Linked DNA regions of Coturnix japonica. The protein of the gene in region 1 interacts with the protein of each later gene in a pairwise test. Links are inferred from orthologs where the notes say so. Each region holds a gene or a part of one and is shown on either strand. Other genes may lie near its edges.

Region 1 (3,814 bases):
AAGGATTATCACAGTAACAGAAGTGATGAAAACAAAATTCCAAGAACAAAACACGGAATTTACATCATCGTCTTTTCGCTTTTTGAATATACTATCTTCAACTTCTCCAACAGCCAACATGATCATCTGGACTCGCTGCAGGTTGACAAAACCACTTTCTGTGAGATAGCCCTGTAAAACACAACGTAATGTGGTTGAAAAACAAATCTACATTGGTAGCAAACAAAGAGATCTTTAAAAAGAACAAAAAAACATTACCCCAGTTTTGTGCACCACGTTTTTATATATGTTTACCAAGCGATCAATTGCTCCCTCCCTAGAAAGCAAACACAAAAGCATGAGACTTGTCATTTAAAGCTACAGGAGGTATACTTGAAGGAAAGTATATTCTCACATACCTGATCTCCAGAGATGGCAGATGAGGAAGAAAGTCATTTCCAACAAAGAAGCACATAAAGACCCAGTCATCAACACTTCTTTCAAAATCAAAAGTGAAAGGTAAACTGGCCATAGTGAGTTCTCTTTCTAAATACTGCAACACAGGCAAAAGACACCAAGAACCATTGTCAACAAAGTTTAATATTACTCATATATGTAGGATTTATTAACTGCTTCAACATACCTCTCGCAAAACACATAAGCGGATGAAGATAAATTCTTGTTCAGAGGCAGGAAGACTGTCTGCAAACTGATCGTGCTAAAATGAAAAGAAATAACTGAATTGTATCCAAGCTCGCTTTTAAGTTTATCCTGCTCCATTTTAAAGCATACTTGGAAAAGAGCTAAGAGATACACAAGCACTGGTCCTCAAGTTCTTTATGCCAAGCATGTATTTCACTACTTTGTGTGTCTTAAGTTAATGATTATCCTCCCTTGCCAGTGGGAAAAAGAAAGAAAACTAATAAGTGAGAAAGTTAGATTCCACATAGTATTTATATGCTACAGAAGTATCATTTTATTAATATAAAACAAAAGCCAGGCAATTCCAGTAGCATAATTTGTATTACGCTTCAGACAAAACTGACAGCAAGAATAATGTGAGGATATCATTAAGACACAAATTAGTTCACACTGAGAAGAATTTGTAGAAAGATCAGGATTCTTACCTTGCCTTGTTTTTCTCTAGGCAAACCTTGACAATCCTTAACCTCGTGACCCATCTGGTTACAAAGAGCACATGGCTTGGGTTTATTTGGTTTAAACTCTTCCCTAATGATGGTGAAATGTGGCTCATGAGTGGCTAATCCAAGCATTATTAGATCAGCTACCAATCAAAAGAGAAGAAGAAAATCTAATGAGAGATAGCATTAAGCACTTTCTTCAAACAAACAACTATAAAGCCACGTTCATTGTGCTTTAAGCAAGCATGACCACAACTATGGGCTCACCCACAAACTACCCAGACAGTACAACTAAGTGAAAGTCAGCCCTTCAGCCACAGACAGCAGCCGTCAAAAGCAGATACACTGGATTATTTATACAAATGCAAACCAAATTCTAAATGCTACAGCTGAACACAGTCGAAAAACAGCACAAGAAAGTTTAACGCGAGATATACTGTCAGCAAAGAACTCACCATCAGCCCCACACAGACAATGATGAGTGTTTGGGTCATGGTTTGGTTGAGCTACATGAAAGAAAATCACACAGCTTTGGTTCAATAAATGCAAAACAGGTGAGAAATAAATGTCATACCGCAGCCTGTTACAAGTATACCTCTTTGTCTTCTAATGTAATCCATGATTTTATGTTCACCTTCACCAGGAGCACTAGCATCAGACAGGATTACCTAAGAAGATGTACAGATTAGGTGATCAATTTGTGCTGCCAGCCTTAAAAAAAACAAAAATCCCACCAACAGTAGGTAGTTCAAGTATTCTTAAGTCACATTCAGTATATGAAATCCTAATTTGCAGTGTCAAGTCTCATATTATGTCTCAAAAATCGATTATTTAAGAGTTTGGGTCCTCTGAGCAGACCTTAATTTTTCTCTAATTTTCAGGATCAAGCTGACATATTGATTCAAATACACTGCAATTATCATATCATTAGCTTCCTGATACATTATACAGACAACTGATGAAACACAGGGCTATAAGAAACAGAACTTGATGGGAGTGGAGTGGTTGAGTAGCAGCATAAGAGAATCTCAAAGTCAAGAAAAGCATGAAAGCTGCTATGAATAATTTTTATTGACTGACATCTATTGTGCATCATTCAGATAATAAAAACAATGCATGTATCAAACTGTGAAACTTACCGTCAAATTTTTCCACCCTGGGTCATTGTTCAAACGGTCAGCGATGTAATAGCGGAGACATTTGGCAAGATTGTCCATAAACTCAGTTCCCTAAAAACGGAAAGATGAAAAGAAATTAAGCCATCATCCAGATACTGACAATTGGTGGTTAAGGGCAAGATCACTTACTGGGGTAATACAGTTGCTGTCAAATCTTTCCTTCACTTCTTCCGGAGGAAGAATGCCACCTAGAGTGTTAAAGACATTTAACATGAGTAAATCAATATGGAACATTAGAAGTACTTTTGCATGACAAACACCCTGATGGCTACCCTGATAGCAATTAACATTACATTACTTTCATCCTAAAATTAGGTACTGGTACTCTTAGAAATGTTGTTTATTGCTTCAGAGCAGTAATTTCACTACCTGCTTTGCCAGAAATTAGAAGAAGCCTCAAAGAAACTAAACTTGCTAAATGAGATAAAACATTAGGAAATAGTTCTTGTATTGTTCTCTATGTTTCCACTACTTGTTCACTTGAGCTCCCAAACAAAGTTACTCTAACAACTTCTCTCTGAACTTCATGAAGAGTCTCCATAGTCTTGAAATGCAACAAAAAAAGCATGCCCTGCCTTTTTAACCTCTAACAAGGCTATGCCTCCATTTGGAAGGCCACATTAATTCAGGTGACTGTGCAGGAAGAAGTAATTCCTCCAGCACACTCAGCATTCTTCAGCTACAAACACTGCTTTCACTCGAGTCATATTACTGTCACTCTCAGACTGCACTGAGGTCGCCCTGTTCCTGAGTTTAAATTTCCAATCTAAGTACCTACCCTTGCTTGCAGTATATTCCTTATTCCTGTGCAGCAACACCTTCACACGATTTCCATTGCTAAGCCTCAACTAACTTTTTGTTAGGACCCAGAAACATTCATTCCTTTCTGTAATAGTAGTGGGAGGCTAAGCAAAACTATGTTTATCCCTGTTCTTCTGTTCACTTTCTTCCTGAAGGAATTAAAAGAACACAAATCCATTTCAGGCAGGAAGACAGAAAACAAAAGTGACATTTTATCTTGGATCTTAACTTAGGGGAGAAAAAAGATCCACTACACCCTCCCTCTCTGTAATTTACAAAGATATTTGAGAGCACAACATCCCTTTTCTAACCCTTACTGAAACAATAAAAACATAAAAGGCAATTCTCACTTGAAAAACAACATCAGGTATGGCCACAGCTTTACCTTTTGCCAGAATTTCTTGTCTTATTTTTTGCTTCTCTTCAGCAGCTTCCATGCCCTCCTTCGATGCTCTGAATCTTCTTGACCGCTGCTGGTTCATTTTTGCACGTGGAGCCTAATCACAGAATCACAAGGTTGGAAAGGACCTACAAGATCATCTAGTCCAACCATCCTCCCTTTACCATACCTACAGTATAACCACTAAACCACATCTCCAAGCTCCCTATCCAGACAAAAAGCAGGTATCACAATGCATGGGTAAGTTACTACATCCATAGAGTTATTTTCCATCTGTTTCTGAAACTAGGAATTAAATACAGTCAATACTTACT
Region 2 (4,456 bases), on another chromosome or scaffold:
GTCCTCAGTGCAGCGCCCAACAAACACTTTTCTGCTCCGCAAAGGCTCGTCGGGACTTTGCTGAAGGGAAGTGGAGAGAGAAGTATAATTAATGAATGGAAACTTCAACATGAAGACCAACCGTTCAGAAGACTGAAGATAAGGAAGTTTTAATTTGTAAGCTTCAGACTTCTGAAACTCTGTTCAGAGAGCACGTGTGCAACTCGGTACAGATGGGAACAGGGAAATAAAGGTAGTCAGTTATGGGCAGTGACAAGGCCAGTGCAGGACACGTCACTGTGCTGCACATTTAACTGCATATCCGCATGATCAGAACAGACTCATTCTGATATTCCATAGTTTCATGTGGCAGGCATGATAAATAACAAACTGCTGGATGTTAATAACACATTATTTTGTACTTCATATTGGAAAACTGAGTGCAGATATAACTAGCTATATCCCCAACACGTCTCATTCACTTCCTGTTCACCCACCTCCTCTATTTTCTTTATCCTGTTTACTCAGACTCCAAAACCACGAATAGGGCTTTTATTAACGTGTTCATCTGCTCACTTCGCACAGTGGCTATAGAAGTGAAGTTGTGAATGTTAGGCAAAACAAAGGTAGTCATAAATATGAAAGTACCTTAGAGTTGGGAAGTTTACAGTCACACCATCTGCCATCTATCATGTGTCGCTGGGACATGACCTTAACCTGGGTTTCATAATCCGTAAAACGAACAAAACCGAAACCCTTTGAGTGACCAGTCTTAATATCCTTTTTAACCTAGGATAAAAAAGAGCGGACTTTAAAACAGAACACAGTAGCACCGTGCTTGTGTTGGTGACATTAATGGCATGCTATTTACCTATCATCTTCTGTATCAATCTTGATATCATCACCAGAAAGGATACAGCCAGATCTCTGATTACCCCCCTTGTATACAACTACCTTTTCCTATGATACTAACCCTGCTATTATGCAGTCACAGCACAAGCTTCTGACACCTACAAATTTAATGCATTCTGACTGCTTTGAGCCCCAGTATTAGTTACTAAAACAGCAGGATCAGCATCAGGGTATAATTACTTTGTAACACTGTAATGACACGGCCAGACCTGCTATATAAACAATGCAAGCACACACAGCTGCATGCAGGACAGAGCCAGGCAGTGGTGACAGAGGTAACCTAGAGCATGCAACATGCTGTTCCTGAATTAATTTAGTAAAGCTTTGTTTTAAAGCCTGAAAAATAAGACATATACTCAGCTGTGACAATCAGCAACATAAACTAAAGAGCTGTTAATACATTGTACCCATTAGGCAGATCTGCGTGGATTACCACTCCCAAATATTCCCATCTGTACCCACACTACAAAGCTCTAAGGCACACAGCTTCAGATCTGCTCCTTTCTACTTTCTATCATCAGAACCCTGATTTCTACTTAACATCTTTCCATACTCAAAAAGTATTTTACCTGCACCATGAGGACTTCTCCAAATGTACTGAAGTATTCCTTTAAGTCTTGTTCTGTGGTTTTCCAAGGTAAACCTAGGACTATCAAGTCCGAAGTCTTCTGTACTGCTCGTTTTACCTTCACGGCTGAAGATGCATCTGTTTCATCCATTTTTCTCTTATTATCTGAATATAACGATGTACGTTAGAAATCATCCTCCTAACTTTAGAAACCCCTTCCACTAATCTTGAACAGCGCGGTATAAAACCAGACAACACTAAGAGGAAGTGCAGACAGCGGAAGAACACATGGCAGCTGTTGGAGGTTATCATTACAACCCACAGCCAACTGTCTGCAAGCGTGAAGAAAGAACGACCTACCAAGTCCTCCTATAAATGACCAAGTCCTCCTATCAATGCATTCTGAGTTAGTTTTGTGTTAGTTTACTCAAGGACCACCCAGTAATGTTTACTGAGGATGGGAACAAGATGGGTTTTTGACAACGATATTTAATGAGAAGGCTATTTCTAATTATTTTGGAGTGCTTTTGGTTGGATTTGTCTCACGTAGCTGTGACCAAAGCACGGCTTGAAGAGAAGTGTCTGTGAGTACACACAGCACCAGCATCTTTACAAGTTCTAATGAGGCTGCAACTCTCCCAAGCACAACATAAAACTGTCATCTAAGCCCTTCTGCAGCTAAAGAATTGAAGCTCTGAGTGCATCTGAAAACCCAGCGGGCTCAACTTCACCTGCAGGATGAACACAAGTCAATTGCTGTCACACACATCGATCTCTGGACTACAAAGCGCACTCATATGGAAACACAAAGGCACAGCACGAACCTTTGGGGTAGTTCACGACATAGACCAGGTTTCCCCAGCCGGCCTCAGGTGCGTGCAGGATGCCCTCCACCAGCCGCACGCCCCGCATACATTGCGATACCGGGTTGCGGTAACGCAGCCCACAGGCCCCGGGGAACTGCGCCGTGACGGTGGAGAGCAGCACGGTGCCGTCATCCTCCGACGGGATCTCGATGGGCTCATCGTTCTCGTCCTCCGTGACCCGGATGTACTCCGACATGTTCGCTGCAAGTCACTGAAGCGTGAGAGAGAAACACGCATCAATAACAGCCCCAACAACGCGCCTCGGGCCCAGCGGGGCACAGAGCGGCACCGAGCGGCACAACGGCAGGGCACGACCCGCCTCGCCCCGCCCCGAGCGGCGCAGGCCCCGCAGCGGCAACACCGGGCTCAGAGCCCCCACAGGGCCGGGAAGTGCAGAACAGCCCACGGGACAGCTCAGGGCTCACAGCTCACAGCTCGGAGCTCAGAGCTCACAGCCCGATCCCCGCCGCCCTCATTCCCAGCCCCGGCCGCCCCGCTCCTACCCGTCTCACCGGGCGGGAATGCAGCGCCGCGTCCTCAGCCCTCAGCGCCTCCAACGCGCCGCACAAAATGGCGGCCGGGCGGCGGGGCGAACCACTGTGAGGCGGAGGGGAAGATCGGGGCGTGTCGGCCGGCAGCGGGAGGGAGCCGGGATCGAGGCGCGGCTCCTGCGAGACGAACAGGAGCTGCAGCCCGACGTCCCGGAATGGCACGGGCCGACAGAACCGGAGCCGGGCTGTGCGTGCCGTTACCCCGCAATGGGCCGTGGTTCGGGCCGAGCCACGCGGGGGCTGCCGGGAGCGGCGTGAGGCGTTCCCGCCCTGTGCGCCTCCCTCAGGTGGCGGTGTCCGTCATGGCGGTGCGGGTCGGGTCGGGGCGGTTTGGAGCTGTTTAGAGCAGGTGATGCTCGCTGTTGTAACACTGCTTGCTGTTTAGTTCTTCCTAAGCCCAGTTTCTATTTAGTTAATGGGAAGTTAAGCCTCCATATGCTGCATAGTGATCTCCTGAGTCCCAGGCCATGATAACTAATGGACACTCGTGTTGTTGCTGCTGTTGCTCTGGCTCCATAAGGTAAGAACCCCACGCAGGACAGTGTCTGTGCTGAGCTGTGTGTGGGCAGCCAGATAAGGGTGGCTCAATCAGCAATACAATACAATTGTACAATACAATACAATACAGCACTGTGCTGTGCTGTAGTAAGGAAAGCAGCACCTTACAGCTCCCATCTCACCTGTTCTTGGTGCCTCTGATCACACACAGGCTGTGCTCACACCCAGATTGACTCCCCTTGTACCACTGTCCTTAAAAAGAACAAAAAGAAGCAATCTTGTTAGTAAAGGTAGGTGACTCCTGCTAGGTAGGGCCAATCCAGTTCCTTGCATCGACACAGAGAATTGCTGAGTATTTAAAGCTCCCACTTAAAACTTACAACTGCAAAACTTGGCTCTGGCACCACTGAAACTTGGCCCATCTGTGCCCCGGTAGCTTTAGACTCAGCCTTATCATTTAATTACCATTTTCCAACAGAGTTCTGAGAGCAGCTGACAAGACACAAGCTGACGAGATAAGCTAATGCTCCATGTAGGCGTTCTCTTGAAATTCCTACATTTTCCAGCCATCCACAAGACACGTCCCAAACCCAGTTCTGGTGTTGCCAAGTCAGCACGGAGGTAGTCGGTGTTGTCTGAACACGCCGTGAGGACTGAGCGGTAATTGCAGCATGTCAACATTACCTACTGCACCATTCCAAGTCAAAGCTATAGTTTAGCAATCAACGCTATTTGAAGAGGTTGCCGTGGCATTCAGCCAAAGTGACCTCTATCTGACAAAGCATCTGCTGCTAGTTTTATTAATGAGCAGAGTAAACATCAACCCTGTGCTAGATTTGTGCAGGTAAGAGCCAGGGGAGGGCAGTGAGCAAATGTAACTATCTTTTTTCTGTAAAAGCTGGGATTCTTGCAGCATTTTCCTACTGTTATTTTGCATGACTGTTCGATTTAAGTTAAGCAGATAACAACAGTGTTGCCCTTGAAGTAACTACACCAGCGGGCCAGCAGCTAGTTAATACACCAGTTGTCTCACGCTGGCAATTCACAGTGCCCATGGGTGCAGACAAATGCAGTACCGTGGT

Evidence for each region.
Region 2: the proteins of XRN2 (region 1) and TARDBP interact in binary tests that used the Homo sapiens proteins (3 or more experiments, as listed by UniProt). The link is inferred for Coturnix japonica from reciprocal best matches to the Homo sapiens genes XRN2 and TARDBP.

The regions. Positions count from the first base shown.
Region 1 is NC_029518.1:4,192,934-4,196,747, reverse strand, and holds part of XRN2 (5'-3' exoribonuclease 2), read right to left. Parts: coding exon 3,814-3,814; intron 3,598-3,813; coding exon 3,486-3,597; intron 2,488-3,485; coding exon 2,429-2,487; intron 2,351-2,428; coding exon 2,261-2,350; intron 1,790-2,260; coding exon 1,717-1,789; intron 1,628-1,716; coding exon 1,577-1,627; intron 1,265-1,576; coding exon 1,107-1,264; intron 698-1,106; coding exon 623-697; intron 533-622; coding exon 399-532; intron 317-398; coding exon 259-316; intron 172-258; coding exon 64-171; intron 1-63. UniProt on the Homo sapiens protein: Possesses 5'->3' exoribonuclease activity. May promote the termination of transcription by RNA polymerase II.
Region 2 is NC_029536.1:3,498,514-3,502,969, reverse strand, and holds the start of TARDBP (TAR DNA-binding protein 43), read right to left. Parts: upstream 3,095-4,456; 5' UTR 2,829-3,094; intron 2,537-2,828; 5' UTR 2,522-2,536; coding exon 2,284-2,521; intron 1,625-2,283; coding exon 1,461-1,624; intron 769-1,460; coding exon 628-768; intron 61-627; coding exon 1-60. UniProt on the Homo sapiens protein: RNA-binding protein that is involved in various steps of RNA biogenesis and processing.